Linked DNA regions of Callithrix jacchus. The protein of the gene in region 2 purifies or fractionates together with the protein of the main gene of each other region. This does not show direct contact. Links are inferred from orthologs where the notes say so. Each region holds a gene or a part of one and is shown on either strand. Other genes may lie near its edges.

What was found.
Region 1: the proteins of NKX2-1 (region 2) and FOXA1 purify together in Homo sapiens (affinity purification with western blotting; 3 studies listed by BioGRID and IntAct, with this or other methods). This does not show direct contact. The link is inferred for Callithrix jacchus from reciprocal best matches to the Homo sapiens genes NKX2-1 and FOXA1.

The regions. Positions count from the first base shown.
Region 1 is NC_133509.1:72,267,247-72,276,644, forward strand, and holds the start of FOXA1 (hepatocyte nuclear factor 3-alpha), read right to left. Parts: upstream 5,268-9,398; 5' UTR 4,994-5,267; coding exon 4,922-4,993; intron 2,549-4,921; coding exon 1,217-2,548; 3' UTR 1-1,216. UniProt on the Homo sapiens protein: Transcription factor that is involved in embryonic development, establishment of tissue-specific gene expression and regulation of gene expression in differentiated tissues.
Region 2 is NC_133509.1:71,112,905-71,122,392, forward strand, and holds NKX2-1 (homeobox protein Nkx-2.1), read right to left. Parts: upstream 4,685-9,488; 5' UTR 4,582-4,684; coding exon 4,505-4,581; intron 4,071-4,504; exon of another isoform or gene 3,926-4,070; intron 3,827-3,925; coding exon 3,438-3,826; intron 2,483-3,437; coding exon 1,740-2,482; 3' UTR 841-1,739; downstream 1-840. UniProt on the Homo sapiens protein: Transcription factor that binds and activates the promoter of thyroid specific genes such as thyroglobulin, thyroperoxidase, and thyrotropin receptor. Crucial in the maintenance of the thyroid differentiation phenotype.

The DNA.
Region 1 (9,398 bases), about 1.2 Mb from region 2:
GTAAAGGAAAAGAATAAACCATGCAATAAATTAATATTGAGAAAGCAAAAAGAAATAATAATGAAACCCGTCTGGCTATACTAACACCATGTCCAACTGTGGAAAGTGCATTAACACTGGATGAAACAAGCACATGATAGCAATGATTAACATGGCCACAATCAATAGGATTTTGGAATCTTGGACCACGTTTTGAAATCCGGCTCCCTATAACTTATCTCTCCTCCAACATCATAATATTCCATTTTTCTGGAAGAAAATATTCTTTAAATGGTACACACCCATAGAAGCTAATTTTACACATTATGTGACCTCAGAATGACATGACCATGGATGGCACTCTGCAAATCAAGAAGCAGAGTTCTGGAGGGCAATTCCTGAGGAATTGATTCCCAGGGCAGTCTGTGGGTAGAGAGGACAAAGGGGTTGGGGTCCTTGTAACTTTTCAGTCAAGTAACTCTTGAGAATGCATCATGATATCACCTATCTATTACCTCTATATGTTGTGTAAATATACGAAGGATGTCTACACATATGAGCATGTGCATAATCAAGTCCATACACAATATATATGTATTTCATTTAAAGACATTTGCTATCTGCATGTATCAGAAATGTAAACTGAAAAGCAAATGGCTCTGATGTTTATAATCTGTTTATGTCTTGCTACATAGCAGTATTGTCTTTCAACACTTTTACGAGCCTCTAGTGTATACTTGTTTCTTCACCATTTCAATTCTTATGGTTAAGAGTATTGCCACAGACCTGTAAACTGGTAGGGGGTCAGGTAAGGAGGGGGGAAAAGCACAAACAAATATTTTACAAACTTGACCATCTTCCTTTTTTGTTTTGTTTTGTTTTAAATAACCCTGCACAGACTAGAATGTTGTCTGGAGGGGAAAGAGGGAAGAAAGGGAGGGGGGCAAGGAAGGAGGCGAATTTTATATATACACGTGTGGATCATTAAACTTCCCAGGAAAAGAATGGTTGGTTTGGGGTTGTCTTTGTAGTAATATACACAATGAGTTTTCAATACAATAATAAAGTAACAGTCTTTTGCACTGGGGGAAGGGTTGTGCATGAAAAATGAAATAAAAATAGTTGTTGGGATTTTATTATGCTGTTGTCGGTTTGGTTTGTGTTTTGTTTGCTGTTGAATTTTTTCATTCTTGCTACCAGCATGGCCATGCCAGACGAACCCCCCAGTCCCGGGGGGTTAGGAAGTATTTAGGACAGGTCTGGAATACACACCTTGGTAGTATGCCGGCTCCAGGGCTGAGGGCTCAATGGGGCTCCTGGTGGTCACTGAGGCGCTGCCAAGAGGCAGGCTGGCGGGCAACGTAGAGCCGTAAGGCGAGTACTGCAGTGCCTGCTCGTATGCCTTGAAGTCCAGCTTGTGCTGCTGCTCCGAGGAGGACATGAGGTTGTTGATGGAGAACGGGTGGTTAAAGGAGTAGTGGGGGTCCCCTTTCAGGTGCAGCTGGGACTCGTGGGGAGCCAGGCCGTGTGCTGGGTGAGAGGGGGGCACAGAGGCCAGCGCCCCGGGCCCGGAGCTTATGGGGGGTGCAGATGAAGAGGCTGGAGTCTTCAACTCCGAGGCGCCCCCTGTCGCAGTCGCCCCACTCTGGTCCAGAGTCTGGGGGCTGGTGGCGGGCCCAGGGGCCGGCGCGCCCTCTAGCTGGCCAGCCTTTCCGTGCACCCCCCGGTGTAGAGGCGAGTCGGTGCTGGGGTTAGCGGCGCCCGAGGGGTCTTTACGGCTCTCAGGGCCGCCCTTGGTGCCTCCGCCCCCGCTCCCACCGGCCCCCGGCTGCTTCTCGCACTTAAAGCGCTTCTGGCGGCGCAAGTAGCAGCCGTTCTCAAACATGTTGCCGGAGTCCGGGTGCAGCGTCCAGTAGGAGCCCTTGCCGGGCTTGTCCGGGGAGCGCGCCACCTTGACGAAGCAGTCATTGAAGGACAGCGAGTGGCGAATGGAGTTCTGCCAGCGCTGCTGGTTCTGCCGGTAATAGGGGAAGAGGTCCATGATCCACTGGTAGATCTCGCTCAGCGTGAGCATCTTGCTGGGCGCCTGCTGGATGGCCATGGTGATGAGCGAGATGTACGAATAGGGCGGCTTGGCGTGCGGGTAGCTGCGCTTGAACGTCTTGGCGTCGCTGCCGCCGCCCGCGCTCCTGCGACCCAGGTTGGACGGCGCGTACGCCATGGGGCTCATGCACGGGTTCATGGCAGCCGCGTAGGGGCCCAGGCCGTTCATGGAGGCTGCCGGCTGCGCGCCCATGGCGCCCATGCCGCCGGGGCTTAGCGCCGTCCCCATGGCCGTCACCCCGGCTGCCGTCATGGTGTTCATGGCGCCCGCCGAGCCCCCCGCCATGCCGGCCACCGCGCCGGGACTCAGGCCAGCCCCCAGGCCCGGGTTCGCATAGGACATGTTAAAGGACGCTGGGGTCATGTTGCCGCTCGTGGTCATGGTGTTCATGGTCATGTAGGTGTTCATGGAGTTCATGGAGCCCAGGCCTGAGTTCATGTTGCTGACCGGGACGGAGGAGTAGGCCTGGAGCGGAGACAGCGAGTGAAGAGGCCCCGGAGGGCGGGGTTAGTGGTGGGCGCAGGAGGGCTGCCGCCCGCAGCGAACACGGGGGCAAGTGCAGAGCATTTCTGCAGAACACGAGACACCCCCACCCGGGAAAATGGCTAGGCGCCCTCCCCAGACTGAGCAAAGGCGTCTCGCACAGCACGGGGAAAATCCTAGCATGGCAGGCACGAAAAGATAAGCGCTCACAGAAAGTATGTCCCCAGGAAGATGTGTAATCGCCTTACATGCCAGGCTCAGGGGCTGGCTTCCAGGACCCCTTCATCGCCTCCTCCATCCACACCGGGCGGTATCCTAAGTATCCACCCCAACCAGCCTCAGCAAAGAGCTCTTTGGGGCAAATCGTCTTTAAAACTCCAAAAATAGAATTAATCTCTGACCCTCCGCTTATTCACTTCACCCTTAGGGTGCAATGGGTTCCACGTCACAAGCCCACTGGGGTGGACCACAGGGAACCACCAACTCCACGCCCTCTTCGCCTGAGTCTGTAGGCCTGGCTGACCACACAGCGGTTTCGGTTGTTCTAGGAGGCTGTTAATGAAACTCCCTGATAGAGCAAATCATCTATGGACGTGGGACCCCCTGAATCATTTATTTCCCTACAACTGGCTTTACTGTCCTAGGAGTTTATTGCCTTTGGTGACTTTTTGTTGTTTATCATATTTAGAAGTAGTGTTTTCTACCTACCTGTAGCAACTGTAATGTTAAAAGGGAAGCAAACTCAGAAATTAAATAAGTTTTGGAAAAATAAAACTAAAAACAGAAAGGGCTGGGAGAGGGTGCCATAATAATTTCAACGTGCTATATACTTTTGATTTTAACGTGACTTTACCTGTACACCTCTGCAAGCTATTCAGAAACTTGCATTAATTTTGTCACCACTTCACAGTCCCCTGTTTGAAAAATTTGGTGACACAGTTTGTCAAAACAAATCATTTTTTCCCCATATTGATATATTGCTGATGATGATTTCAATGCCTGGATTTTGAAACTCCGTGAGTAGTCTTGAATAATTTAAAATTCTAAAATCAAATTCTACTTATTTTTTCTTAATGCTATTGTATTTGCTAATTCTCAGCTTTAACATGTAAGAAAACACTTTTCGATAGAGGTCTTGATAGAATGGTGGGGTCGAGATTACTACATCAGAATTAAACCTCTGAGACCTCTGAGCTCTTTTTAAAATCATCAACAAGCGAAAATCCTTATCCATAGCAATGTGGGGAAGCATTAGGTATAGTATTTTAAAAATACAGAACCTAGGGATGTTAAAAAGTACTCCTCTAATAATTTAATAAGGAATAATTACGTCCTTAAGTTTACTTTCATCAGCAAATATGAGCCCTTTTGAAAACAGGAGAATAGATTTAAATAGGAACACCCACTAAACTATGGTATGCAAATAAACTCAGAGGTAAATTTGTGAATATATGAATCTAAATAAATTAGTTACCATCAAAATATTACCTGATTCTATATTTTTCTGTCCACGTCTTAGAAGTATTTTTTACCTTGGGGTTTTATTTTCTTTCTCTCTTCCCAAAATTATCCCAGGCAGTTCCAATACGGGTTTTCAATAACGGTAAACTTTTGGGGGGTAATCGCCAGCTGTTTCCACAAAAATACTTTTAATAGGTGGCAGTTCTGCCTGTACCTGGTTTTCCCTGTAATCCTTTTATGCACATTGTAAAATAAACCCCAAGAACGTGCCACTAAGGGAACAATGAAGAGAAACAGGTTCTGGGCCCGGAGTTCTAAAGAAGATGCTGGTCGCACTAGCGCCACCCAGCGGTTTTAGAGAAAAAGAAACACACTACTCCCCAAACAGGGCTTTTGAAGAACAAGTTTTACGAAATTTAGAAATCGTTTCATTATTGAGACACTCAACTTGGCTGCAGGGCGCTTTAATTAGAAGAGGTCTTTGAATTAAACGACGGGAGGAAGAGGTCGCCTTGCGGGCGTGCTCCGGCTTTCTTAGAGTTGCTTCTAACTCGCGCCCGCGCTCTCCCGCCAGCGACACCCTGGGCCCGGCTCCCGCTCCCCCTCTCCGCTGGGAAGAGGCAAGCGCTTCCCAGAGCCGCTGTTTTCAAAGCCTGGAGTTTCCTAAAACTCTCTCGCCGGCTGCGAGAGTCGGGACAGACTAGGGCAGCAGGTCCCGCTTCCAGGCCCGGCCGAGGCCCGGCCGGGGCCACATCAGCGGGCAGGTAGCGGTGGCACCGAGGAGGCTCCCCCGGCCCTCCTGCCTGCCCTGCCCGGCACCCACCGTTCCCCGGCCTCCCCCGACACGGGCTCCAGGGGGTCCCTGCCCGCCGCCCGCCTCTCCTAGTCTCTCACCTCCTGCGTATCCGCGTAGTAGCTGTTCCAGTCGCTGGTCTCATGCCCTTCCATCTTCACAGTCCCTAACATCCTGGAGCCACCCAGCCCGACGCAACCATCCAGCCCTGTGCGAAGCGACGGGCGGCCGCGCTGCACGGCGCGGGGCGGGGGAGGGGAGCCGAGCCGCTGCAATCACCCGAGCGCCCGCGCCGGCCCAACGCCACCCGGGCGAAGAGCAAGTCCGGAGCTGCGGGGCGCGGCGTGCGCGGTGGCGGCGGCGGCGGCGCCGCGGGCGGGGGCAGCGCAGGGGGCAGGCGGCTGCCGCGGAGCGGGGCGCCTGGGAGCGCCTCCGCGGGAAGTGAGCGGGCGGCCTCTGCGAGGCGAGTGCAGTTGAGCTGATGTGGATCTTACGTCGCTCGAGTGCCCACCTCCTCGTCCTCTCCCCATTTGTCCGCCGCACAAAGACGCTCGCACCTACAAAGCCCGAGGTGCACCTGCAAGGCGGCCGCCTGCCAGTCCGGCCGCCGCGCCTCCCGCCCCGCCACGCCGCCGCTGCGGCCGCGCGCCCCCTCCCCTGAGCCCCCTCCCCCAAGCCCGGCCCTCACTTTGTTTGCAAAGCAGTGTAATTGGTTTAAGCCCGGAGGCTAGGGAAAGAGGGAAATGGGGTGGGAGGGGGTGTAACCCCCTTTGGAAAAAGAAAAAAATAGGCGGGGCCGGGCAGGCTGGCTAGGACTCTGGATGGGAATCTCGCAGCCAGAGAAGGCCGGGGGCGGTGGCGTCGGAGCCCGAGCTTAGAGACCTTGTGGGCTAAGTGACACCGGGGTTCCTCCCCAGAGGTACTGGCCACCCTCCGAGCTCCGACTGTGTCCCAGTCTCGCGCCCCTCCTGCTCCCTTCCCCCTCCTTCCTGATTCCTGACTCAAAGTTCAACCCCAGGAGACTGGAGAATACAGATATTTTTTTTTTTCTTTCCTCTGGGCTTCAGACTAGAAAAGGGAAAAAAGCCCCACTTTTGCTTCGTCACTAGAAACCCGACCATCTGAGTCAGCCGAGCCAAATGACGTTAGGCCGACCTGAGCTCCTGGCTAGCAGAGCGGAGGCGCTGCCACAAACTCGTACCTGCGGCTAAGAGCAGGTGAGTCACCTTTATGGTTTATATCTTTATGACATAACTTTTTTTCTCCCCCAGCCTCGGTCCGCTCCTCTCCCCTTGTCATCTGTAGCGACCATAAAGAGGAAGAAACTGAGAGCAGATGTCTGTGGGATAGGGCAGGCGGACCCAAGTCGGGCGGTCCTCCCTCTGCCGGGCTCCTCCTCCCGCCCCCCTTCAGCTGCCTCAGGGACTGAGCTGTAGACGACCGTCTGGTTTCTGATAGGAAAAGGTCAGGGGGAGGGGACATCTTCCATAACACGCGCATTAGCTGGGAGCGCAAGGGCCCGGGCGCGTGAACGCATCTGCACTGCGAAAGAGCTTCCAGGCAGAAGCCCGAGATGGCTTGCAGGGGAGTTTGATCCTGTCTGTGACCGGAGAGACCGGGCTGGGATCTCAGGGGCTCGCTTGGTTCCTAATCGGTTCTGGACGTCGGTGGGAGAGTCTCCCCCACGCAGAGTCTCTTGACTTTCATGGGGCCGTGGGTGGCGGATTGCCCACTTGTCATGGCAGAGAGAACTACTGAAGTGACTGGGTGATAGGCAATGACTTGGTGATAAGTTGGGAAATGGTGCATGTGTTTCTGAGTGTGTGATCGTTTGTGTATTTCCGAGCACGTGTGACTGAGTGTGTTAGTTTCTGAGTGTCTGTGACCCTGTGTGTGTTCTACTGCCTGTAGAAGCACTAGGTTCCCTTAAGTAACAATAAAATAAAATCTTTCTAAAGTAATTAAGAATCCGCAAAATCTTCTTGTTTAGCAAAGTTTTTAAACTGCTATTAATCTCAATTTAAGAAATGTGTTTTAACTTGTCTTCCAAACAAATACCTTTTTCCCTGTGCTTTGTTCTTTTAAATCTCTCTTACTTGAAATCTGGCAAGAGAATCACTTTAAGTCCCTGAACCAAACAACTCTCTTAAGTCAGCAGGGGAGCAGAGAGGGTGAAGATGTGCAGTTAAGGAAATAAAAAAAGATAAAAGCATTGGATTACAACTTTTTTTTTTTTTCAAAAAGGGTGGTGGGTGAAATGTCACATCATAAGGAAAGGAATGAATGAAATTAGCTTCACCTGGAACTCAGTAGGGCAGGAACCCTCCCTACTGCAACCTGCTCCTGTAACTGCAAGTTGTCCCATCAGTTTGTGTAAATGTATCTGCGAATTGTGTGTCAGAAACTAATGCTTTTGTGCAAAGTTTCCATCAGCAGCTGACTTTAGTTCCATTTGTAAAGTACACGGATGCTTAGCTTCCTTGGCCTGATGGGGGTGGGGGGACTTTCAGTGCTAATGAGCTTCCTTGTTCCTTCTGGAGGTGATTCTCCAACACTCTCTTGGCTCTTCAATAACATCGAGCAAGTCTAGGGTATTTTCTACCAATAGTAACAATTTATAGATAGTAATGGCTTTTATGGTGCACAAAAATCTGGTGCGTTAAGCGGGGTAAAAACACTGTCACCTTACGGAGGGGGCTCAATTACAATATCAAATATTATTTTAGCCCATTTCCCAAACTTACTAAGTCTAATCTTAAAAGAAAACAAGCTGACTTAAGAAAAAAACATCCACTGTTCATAGCGTGATGGCCAGAGCGAAATTTCTCCTAGGCTTCTTCAAAGCCCAAGACCGGTGGTGCAGAATGGACTCTGTCAGCTTCAGAGCCTTAATCCAGCTCGGGGATCACAGGTTCGCGGCCTGGTGCGGGGGTAGGGGGTGGGGATGGATCCCTCTCCACAAACACAGCGCCTCCTGTTGTGGAGAGGGATCGCTGAAATTTTCCGCAGGCACTCCAGGGAGCACCGCCAGGCGATAGTGGGTTGAACTCCGCAGGCAAACCACAGCCAGGAATTTAGGTTCTTAGAGCCTAGGCCGAGGTGGAAGGAGAGATGACAGTTCGGCCAGCTCCCAGACTCTCTCCATCTCAGTGAGCGCACTGCAAGACCCCTAACAAATTTAGGAGGTGAAGTTCTAGTATACCCAAATGCCAACCAGTCACTTTCCCCGAAGTTTAAAGGCGAATCAGCAGAGTCGTATTGGGTCTTTGACTTGGAAATGCATGCATACATACATACATACATACATACATACATACATAAATTAATGCTGCTGTCTGGATTGCTGGCCAGTCGGTAGCCAAGTCCAGCGGCTGCAGGCTGTTCTTTTCCAGCCGCTTTTCCCAAACAGGCACCTACACTATTGCAAACTGTGCTTTGCAAGGATTGTGCTGCTCGTTGGAGGAAACCAGGCCTGTCTTCAGCTCTGGGGAGGCTGGGTGGACTCAGGGCAGGGAACCGACGAAGGCAGACACTTGGCGTCTCCTGGCGTGTCCCAGGCTAAAGTTGCCTGGGTAGGGACGGGTCTGCAACAGCCTGGAGCCGTCCAGGTCGCCGAGAGGGCGGGCTCCTCAAGTGGAGGTTAGCGGCGGCAGTGAGGACGGTAGGGTGCGCGGGTACTCCAGGTGGCCGCCAGCGGAGGAAGCGGCTCCGCCCTTCCCGGAAGCTGCGCCTGCTACACCTGTGGGGCCTGCTCCTGGCGCAGTCCCGCAGTGCCCGGGTGGCACTAGGTCCTTTGACCACGCTGGGCTGCCTCAGCTTACACTTCCCAGCAGAATCTGGCTGGGAGCCCCTTCCGCAGATATTCACCAGGCAGGGAGAAGCAGAGGGCGACGACGGCGGAAGGTGGAAGGAAAGGCCGCGGACTCCGGCCTCTGGCCCAGCCGGCGGCCTCTCGCGGCGACCGGGTCTTTGCCATTTAGCAGGACCGCAGGGTGGGCAGAAAGCAGGACCCGGGCCTGCGGGGCTCTGCGGTCCCACTGGAGTCTCACCAGAGCTTCCCTCTGTGGCTGCCTCGCCTCCCGCTTTCCTTGCCTACCCTTCCCCGGACGGGGTTGTTGTCAGGTGGCGGCCGCAGCGGCCCAGACACGCTTGGTGTGGGGTGGTCCGACTTACCCCGCGGGCCCCCGCCCCCCACCCAGATAAGAAGCTTAAGTCCTTCTTCTGCAAGGGAGAATCGGATGCAATGAAACTAAGACCTGTGGTCGTTAACACGGTTCAAAGCCGACCCCGACTGGGACCCGGCTCAGCTTAGAAGTGAGGAAGTCCTGAGACGCTGGAAACAAGGGGTCACAGTTGCGTGTGCCTGGCCTTCGCAGTTGGACGTGTGCGCCGAGGTGGGGAAGGGGCCAGGGCCCCGAGAGACAGCGGTCCCCAGCGCGAGAGGAGAAGCAAGGGCCGGGCCAGGGTTCGAACTCGGTTCCCTCGCTGCCTTTTTATTTTTCTTCCTTCCTCTCTCCCTTCCTTCCATCCTTAAATCTTTAAGGGATCAATTCACAACTTTCTAGTATGTAGAGGCCC
Region 2 (9,488 bases):
TGCTTGGAGTGGGAGGTAGTGGCCAGGAGGTGAAGAACTGGAAACAGGAGAAAGATTCATTGCTACAAAAATTTAGGAACCCAAATATTAAAAAAAAGAAAAAGGTGCAATAAAGAGTGAAATCTCAGCTCCTGAAGTCCTTCCTGGGACATCCTCAGGCCTGTCACGCAGTTTTACTCCATTGGAGGCGAAAGGAGCCAAAAGCAGCAGGGGCTGGGGTGTCTGCTGCTGGTCCCGGAGAGGACATCCCTGTTTCAGGGCAGAAACAGAATCCCAGAATAATTTCCTCACTTTCCAAAACAGCCTCCCACCGAATTCTGTGAAGGAGCTCGGCTGCGGAATAAAGGTTCAATGTTCAAATCTATAGAGATGATCATTCACTAAAAACCAGAACTCATTCAGAGTTCTTTAAAATGGTTGTCTTCTCTCACTGTTTTAAAAGGTTGGCTCAGCTTTGTGAGACCACAGTAGACAGTACACAGTTCTGAAGCTCCTATCAACAGAAGTCTGATTCTGAAAATGAATCTTTTGGTTTCTTTCTCTTCCTCTCCCCATCTCCTGCTTGGTGGAAGTAGTTTGGCATTTCTGTCCTCCACTGCAGTCTCAGGACTGCTCAAGATTTGGTTCCACACAGTTTCTGAGGCAAAACAAAACTCCCTTTTCCCGTGGGGCAAGGACTCTAGGCCTGGCCTCTTTGCTTCCTTAACCGGTTCAGAATCCTTTGAACTCAAACCCAAACAATTTGAATCTCATCAGACCAAAGACAAGATCCTCCCAAGCCGCTCCCCCACCCAACCAAAAGCCATTTAAAGCCAAATCAAAACCAAACAAAAAGGAGGGTTTTAATCAGAAAAAGAATCTTTTTAATTTGTATAATTTATTAGAAGCTTCTTAGGAACTATATTTAAGCCAAATATCTACATAAGTTACAACAGAAAAAGACTGACGCCGCAAATACCAAACTGCCAAATAATATACACAGATTTGTCAATGCCCATAAAAAATGTGAAGGGCTGGGGACTGGGAGTGGTTTTTCTTTTTACAACAAATGTACAGATTACTAAAACCTAGGCATTTAGTCCAACTTTTGACAGCGTTTTACAGCTACAAGTTCACATCAAACATAACAGTTTTCGCGGAGGGACGGTCGTGGCTGAGCCTAGGCGGCCCGAGGGCGCCGGGGAGGGGGCACTTCCTTTGTGTCAGTGACAAGTGGGTTGTGTCGAAGACTCTGCTCTCCCCAGCTCCCGTCCTCCCTTCTTTAAAAAAAAAAAAAAAAAAAAAAAATCCTGGTATTTACAAGCGAGAGTCCACTTTGCTGGCAGAGTGTGCCCAGAGTGAAGTTTGGTCTTTAGAGTCCAGAGCCATGTCAGCACAGAGCCCTCTCCAATCTGTGCCCTGCCCTAGGGTGGGAAACCCATTTGAATCACCAAAAAAGACACCCCCAAAGTTGTTTTATGCCTTTCTCTGCTTAAAGATTCCTTAAGAAATTGGACGCGCTTGGTTGTTTTTATTTTCTTTCTTTCTTTTAAAAAAAACACACACACAAATTTTAGGATCAAAAACAGAAAGACGTCTAGCAGTTTGGCTTTTGTGTTTTGTTTGTTCCGTGGTCTAAACGCGGTCAGGTTCTTAAGAAAAGTCGAAGCGTGTGGAGCAACGGCGGATGGTGGTCTGTGTGGCGAGCAGGAGGGAAGCGGTGAGGCAGAGCGCTGGGCTAGGGCCGGCCCGGCGTCCTCTCACCAGGTCCGACCATATAGCAAGGTGGAGCAGGACATGGTGCCGTAGTCCGAGCCCGAGGAGTTCAGGTGGGACAGGCTGGAGACCTGGCCCTGCAGCGCCGCGGGGCTGGCGGCATGGTGCGCCAGGTCCGGAGACTGGCCTGCACTGCCCGGCTGGTGGCCCGGGTGTGCACCAAGGCCGCCGCCACCGCTGCCCACAGAGATGGCAGCTGCCGCCGCCTGCGCGGCCTGCGCCTGCTGTTGCGCCTGTTGCTGCGCGTGGCCTTGTAGGCTGGCGGCGCCCGGCGCGGGGGCACCCGCCTGGCAGGGTTTGCCGTCTTTCACCAGGACCGGCACGGCCACACGGCGTGGCGACTGCTGCTGAGCCTGTTGCTGCTGCGGGCACCCGGCGCCCCCGCCGCCCCCGCCGCCGCCGCTGTCCTGCTGGAGTTGCTGCTGCGCCGCCTTGTCCTTGGCCTGGCGCTTCATTTTGTAGCGGTGGTTCTGGAACCAGATCTTGACCTGCGTGGGGGTCAGGTGGATCATGCTGGCCAGGTGCTCGCGCTCTGGCGCCGACAGGTATTTCTGTTGCTTGAAGCGTCGCTCCAGCTCATACACCTGCGCCTGCGAGAAGAGCACCCGGCGCTTCCTGCGCGGCGCGCTTGGCAGCGGGGCCATGTTCTTGCTCACATCCCCCAGCGAGCCCAGGCCGCCCATGCCGCTCATGTTCATGCCGCTCGCCGGGCCCATGAAGCGGGAGACTGTAAGCGACAAACGCACAGCGTCGGCCGGGGCCAGGCCGGGCCAGGCCACCCCAGTTTTCCGCGCCATTGGCCGGCCCGGCCCGGCCCGACCCGACGGCGCCCTCCTGACCCAGGCAGCCTAGCGCTCGGCCCCAAGAGGCCCATCCTCGGGGGACCTCCAGCATCTGCCCCAGGCGGTGCCGTCGAGGGCTGCACTGGAGCGCTCACAGCCCCAACCCTGGCTGCCCACCCTCAGTCTCAGTTCCCTCTTTCGAACCAATAGGCGCAGTGGGGAAAAGGCCGCTTCTGCTGCTTTAGTGCCTGCCCAGCCCGGGTCAGAGCAATGGGATTAGCTGGCCACAGGCGGCGAACTGGGCTCAGGCCGGGAGCTGGGGTCCCACGGTAGACCCCAATTTGGAGAGGTTAGGAGAGGGGGTGTTGACTTCCAAAAGCTGGAGCCCCCAGATGATTTGCCTTTTGGCTTCTCTCCTGTCGGCCCCAGTGAGGGCACCTGCTCAGCCCCTCAGAGTCCCCTCCGGAACTGCAAGTCTCCCACCTGCCCAGACTCCTCTAGAGAGAGGGCCGGGGTGGGCGCTCGAGTGCCTCCCAACAGGGCAGCCTCCCTCCTGGCCGGGCCTGGCCTCTCCGCGCTCTGCTCCCTGAGCTCGGGGTCGCTTCCCTGGGCTCCCCTAGGTCTTCTGAGCGGAGCAGAACTGCCAGTCCACCGCGCCTAAGAGACACCGAGTACCCGCATCTGACCGCAGGACCCCAGCGCTACCAATTGCCTGTTCTTGGACCCCCAGACGGGCAGGGGGAAGTATCCCCAGCTCCCACACCCTAGTCCCTGGCGCCGCTCCCGGGCCGCCCACCCTGATGCCTAGCGCGTAGCCTGCCCGGGCCGCGCCTTCTGGACGGCTCTTGCTGCACCTCCTGAGCTCAGCCCGCGGCCCCGCAGTGGGGCGGCCTCACTTACTGGCGGCGGGGAAGCGCGGGTCTGGGTTGGCGCCGTACCATCCGGGGCCAGAGGCGCTGTTCCTCATGGTGTCCTGGTACGGCGGCAGCTCGCTCATGTTGCCCAGGTTGCCGTTGCAGTAGCCCCCCACCGCGGAGTGCGAGAGCTGGGGCACCCCCGCTGCCGTCATGTGGTAGGCGGCGGTGACGGCGCCGTGGTGCCCCACGGCGTGCTGCTGCATGGCCGCGGCCGGCGGTGCCGCCTGGCCCTGCCTGTACGCCGCCAGCGGAGCCCCGAGGCCGCCGCCCTCCATGCCCACTTTCTTGTAGCTTTCCTCCAGGGGACTCAAGATGTCAGACACTGAGAACGGAGTCGTGTGCTTTGGACTCATCGACATGATTCGGCGGCGGCTGGAGGAGGAAGGAAGAGGAGGAAAAAAAAGGGAGAGGGGGAAGGCGAAGCCTTGCTGCTTTTTTTTTTTCTCCCTTTGCCAAATATTCTGGTGTTACCTTAACGCCGATCTTGTTGGATGTACACGTAACGGAGTGGACCGAGTCCTCCTTAATTGGCTTGAGTGGAGGCTCGGGGGCTGCCTCGCGTTTGTTTTAGCCCGGCGCCAGGTTTTAGGCAGCCACCAGAGGCGGGGCGTAAGCGCTAAAGCAACAAGACAATAGAAGCCTACATCTTGCCCGAGATAATTAGCTTACATGCTGATGACAAGGTAAACACCTTTAAGTTTCCCTTGTCAGGATTTTTAGGTCTCAGAGAGAGAGAGGCAGAGACGAGACCCAAAGCATTTCCCCCCTCCCTTAGACACCCCCACCCCCATTTTTTGTGGGGTACCAGCGGCGCGCGGGGAGGAGGTGGAGAGGAGGGGAAGGAGGAGGGAACCGAGAGCGGGGAGGGCAGGAGGTGGGGTGGAGGAGTAACATAGGAGGAGAGATGGTTGGGAGGAAGGAAGGTAAATGCTGCTTTGCAACCAACTTTCGGAGTTACAAAGTGGAACCACTTTCCTATTCGGTCGGGGTTCTCCGGGCGGGGACAGGTCTTTAGGAGGAGGGGGCAGAGGGACGGGGTGGGGGTTTCACCTGAGCCTGCCGGGGCTGCTCCTCCCTCCCGCCGCGGCCTCCCAGCCCCGCGCCTTCCCACTGCTTCCGGACCACATCGGGCTTCGCTGCGCTGAGCCCCAGTCGCCACCAAATGAGCGAGCGAGTCTGGGGACGAACCCTGGGGCTGCACCGTTGGTCTACGTGTCTGTCAGTCTGTCTGCTTCTCTTCTGCCGCCGTCAGAGGGACACCTCTGCTCCCCGCCCCCTTTCCCTCTACCCAAGAGACTCCGAGCGGGCGGAGGGGGCGCTGAGTAGGGGATCGACTGCCTCCCGGAGGCTGTCCCGGATCCCCAAGCCACCACCCGCCCCCACAGCTCAGGGGTTTTTCTGTGGGCCACCACCCCCAACACGCCTCCCCCCAGGTCTTTCCCCACCCCCACCCCCGGCCGAGCAAACACAGCACTGGCCCCTTGAGCTGGGAGCATGGGAAGGGGTCTAACCGGAGGGTCCGTCACTGAAGTTGCCCCACCTCGAACAAACCTGATGTCCCTGACCCTCGCCCATCTCCCAGACACGCGGGGTTCTGGGGCTGGAGTTGACTTTCCGAGGACATCACAGCCCCAGCACCCGAGCCCAGAGCCACGCTGTTTTCCCCTCTGATGCTTCAGGGAGAGCGCAGGCAGGGAGCGGCGTGAGTGCCGGGGGTCAGTCCGTAGCGGGTCGGAACCGAGCCTGAACCCCGGCTGCTGGAGCGCTGGCCAGGAGGGGGCGAATGCCGAGGTACAGGCAGCCCGGCGGGCGGGAGGCTGGGCTGAGGCTCGCCTCTGCCCGGAGCTCAGCCATGCAAAAGTGCACTTGCTTCCCAGGAATAACCAAATATCTTTGTTTAAAGTGGTGGCGTAAATGGCCAGTCGCTTTGTGGCCACGCTGGATATTAGTAGATGAGGATCATTCTGCTTCAATTGGGCGCCTCTCATCCGACGAGCAAGAAACTGCTTAGGAGGAAGTGGGTTTCCTGTCTGCGCGTTCCCAGGCTTCAAGTGTGGGCCCCGCGCCTTGAGGGTCCTTGGGCGCCTGGCGAGGGGGAGCTGTGGGCTGCGCTCCCCAGCGGGGTCGGGGGCGTCCCCCACGATACTCCGGCCAGGCCGGGGCCTGTAGCCTAGTCGACTACCGAGTGGAGCCTTGCACCGCGAAGATTTTGAGACCGACTCCGGTTTTTGTCCTTGTATTTTAAACGCTTTTATTGTTGTTGTTTGGCTTTCTCTTTGGCTGTTTTAGCCTCCTCTCCGCGCCAGGGGCTGGGAGGGCGGAGTGCTCCCCGGCCGAGTCTGGCAGGTGCCTCCAAGACACCCGCACCGGCCAAGGAGCTTCTTCCAATTTTAGTATATGTGTTGCCGAAGGGATCACAAGGAGCTTCTTAAATTTCTTGTTTTCACATTTTCTCTCCCTTCCGTGTAGAAAGGGAGTTCCTGATGACGAACAGGCAGTTTTGAGCTACTTAATTCATCCAGGTTCCTTTTATTATTACTATTATTAATAGCAAGTATAGTACAGAAAGTTTAGTTTTTAAAGATTTTAGCCCTCTCCTTGAAGAGTGCTCTGTACTCCCTCAATATAAAGCCAACGTCTATACTAACATTCTCATTTCTCACCGCCTACCTTCCTTACCAGCGGAAAGAAAGCGCAGGGCACCTATCGCCCTCCCACCTGGACCCGCGTTTCCGTGACGCCCCCATGGCAGTGCTGGGGAGAACACCCTGCGTTTGCGCAGGGAGACGCGCTCGCCGCTTGTGTTGCGAAAGACCAGCGCGAAACCCTGCGGCTTGCTCTTCCTTCCCAGGGGGTTCTCTGGGGGGCGCTCTCAGGACCCGACGAACTGCGCCTTGGTCACTGTGGTGTCTAAGCAAGGAGGGGAGACGACGCTGGACTTAAGTGAACCACAGAGAACTGGCAACGCTGAATACAGACCTTGTTTGCAGGCTCGACCCGGGCGGGCCTGAGTCCCGAATGGGGTCTGATTGCGAAGGCGGGGTGGGTTTCCCAGTTACCCAGCTGCTTTCTCTCACTTGCCATTATTTTATAGTTGGTAAATTTAAGAAACACCAAGTGTAGAAGGCTGTACATCTCTCCAAGTCTCAACGCCATTTAGAAGTGGAGATCACTCTTCACAAGGTTTTTGTGAAATTCAAGTAAGATGGAGCACATCAAAGTGCTTTGAAAGCTTTGAATGTTTTTCAGCTTGGTGCCAGCACTGGAGATTGCCGTAGTTATTATCATGATTATCCCCACCCCCTCTTTAGGTCCCCAGACTTGAGTAAGAGTTGGATGAATCTTCCACAGCCTCCTGTCTCCTCGGACTTCGTCCCTTGGCAGCTTTTCAGCCTCTCAGCAGGTCAGAGGTGCATGTGGCTGGCAGCTCTCTGGCCTCCGGCTGGGAGAGTCCCAGGGCAACCAGGCCTGCAGCTCTGGAGGAAGCCCCCGCCCTGCCGTTCAGGACCAGTAACCCCCTCCCCAGAACCGCGCAGCAGGTGGCGAGTCTGGGAGCTGAACAGGAGCGCAGCTCGGAGTGGCTGGGGCGGGCAGACTCCCGCTTCCCTCTGGGATGCAACTGGAACTGCGCTTCAACCTCTGTCTGCAGGCGTGCTTCTCGCGCTCTCCAGCAAGCTCTCGTCTTCACCTCGCCTGGGCCTTTGCAGAGCCCTGCCGCCCAGGCTCCAGCGCCTTTCCTACCCCAGCCCCCTCTCAACACGCGGCTGTGCCTTCTTCCCCAGGACTGCTGCACCGCCAAGAATAAGCCCGGAGACTAAGGCGCCTTGTGGGGAAGAGGAGGATATCTGTATCCCCGAGCTTATCCAAGCAAAGGCCTTGAGAGTCCCTCCCATGGCCCGAAACACCTCCTTCTGACCGAGGAGCATTCTTTCTTTCCGCCTGGAGGGGTCTCGCAGGGCCCCCTCTGCACTGCTTTCTCAGGCACCATCGGACTCATCCTAAATAGGGCAGACCCGGGCTAAACCAGTATTTTTTTTTCCATGAATACGAAGAACCCCAATTCCACTTCTCAAAGTCTGCGTGTCTTCCTTTATTCCACAACTAACTCGTTCCTGGGTGGAGTGGGCACAATGGGGAGCGATCGGGGCAGGGCAGTGCCCAACACTGGCCCCTCGCGGAGCTTTCCCTGACGCGGCCTCACACGGTCGCTGCCTCAATTCCGACCACACTCTGCTTTGCTGGCTGGGGCTCGGCCGGGAATACGAGGGGGCGCAGGCCCAGGCTCAACCCTAGACGCGCGGAATCGCCATCAGCCTTTGCCCCCACCAGCGTGGCCACGGGGACACTCCCTTCTCTCCCTCCAGTGTCACTTTGTGAGACAACAGAGGGTCATACAGAAGGCTAATTCGGGGTCTGTAGCTTGGACTTGGTGGAACTGTGAAGAGGAACCACCTGTCTCACCGCCCCACCCCGCAACTGATTTTTCTTAACTCCCTTTGCAGTCCTTCTCTGAGGCCCGAGCGACTCTGTCTCCTGGTAGTGTTATTTTTCTCCGAGTTTTTTCGCAACTTATGATTCGCTCAACACTATTTATTTAGCTCGGGCTCTGTGCCAGGGAATGTGCTAGGCCTGAAAATTCATCCTTAATCTAGATCCAACTCCTACTCACACGGAGTTTACACATTCACAATAAATCACCCAAATAATATGTAGTTACTTTCAGATAGATGTTACTGCAGGGTCCAATGAGACAGAGAGGGTTGTAATGGAGGTTTGTGTGTGGGTTTCGGCACCAATTCCTAATCTCCCAGCATTCTAAGGTCGTGAGAGGAGCCCTTGAGTAAAGTCAGAAGTCCTAGGTTTGAACCTTGGCTTTGCCACTTTCCAGCTGTGCAGTCCCGCTCTTGTGGGCTCCCGCCACACCCTGGAGTCACTACCATCACAGCCAGAGTAAACCAGTGTGTGTTTTCTGGCTCCTCTCCTTGAGGGTGAGCCCCTGTTTTATCTATCTTTGAGTCCCCCAGTGCCTCGAAAAATGCGAAGAAAACATAGCCTCCTAGCGAGCACCTGTTTCCTGAGCTGTAAAAATGGTCACACCCTGTCCTGTGTACTGGCCTTGTTTGTGCTAGGGATCCAAACAATTCAGGATGAGATCACGTGCCTGAGTTTGTGGATCACAGAAGTCGCTAACAAAAGGAGTTATTCCCTCTGATTCCGTATTTTTAATATGTAGAAACTGTTAATCTAGGCCTTTGACCTTTGACAAGAAGCACCTGGGCCCCTCAGCTGCTCCCGCGGGTCTCCCACGCCAGGCACAGACTTCTAGGCCGGGCTGAACTGGGCTCGCAAGTGCAGTCGAGGCAACCAGATGCAGGGAGAGGAAGGCAGGAGCGCTACTGGACGCTTGGGGGCGCTGCTCTGCAACCCCAAGATAGGAGGCGTGCCTCGGGCTTCCTCTTTCTGGAGGGGTCTCGCAGGGCCTCTGCGCTGCTTTCCCAGGCACCAGAACTGAAAGCCTCGGAGGGACCGCGGGAGCTCGGGGCGTGCAGACAGGCGGCTTTCACAGACGCAGTGGAAGAAAGGTGCCTCGACTGCTCCCTCTCTCGACTTGACCATCTTGGGTCTTGAGGGGATATTCCTTTTGGGAACGCTTTTCTCAAGTCGTGGCCTGTGGGCAGGCTGGAAGTGGGGCGCAGAGACATCGGAGCGTGGCTTCTGCGCCTCCCTTCTCGCACAGGCGTGCTCTGAGGTAGGAATGGGACGCGAGGGCGCGCCCATGAGGGCGAGTTCGTCGAAGAAAGTCCGGTCCTTAGGACTTTGGCGTTGAAGAATCTGCTTTTCTGTCGGGTCAAGCCCAACTAGAAGTTAACACCTTTGGTCTCCAAACTTGCCTATTTTTATGTCATGCAGTTCAAGCCAAGATTCAACTCGTCTTAAGTGTTTGTATTTAGAGCTCCTGCCTTCTCCACCGAGTCCAGAGGCCCCCTCTGGCGGGAAGGAGCCTGGGTAGGAGGGGCTCCGGGGAGCGGGTTAC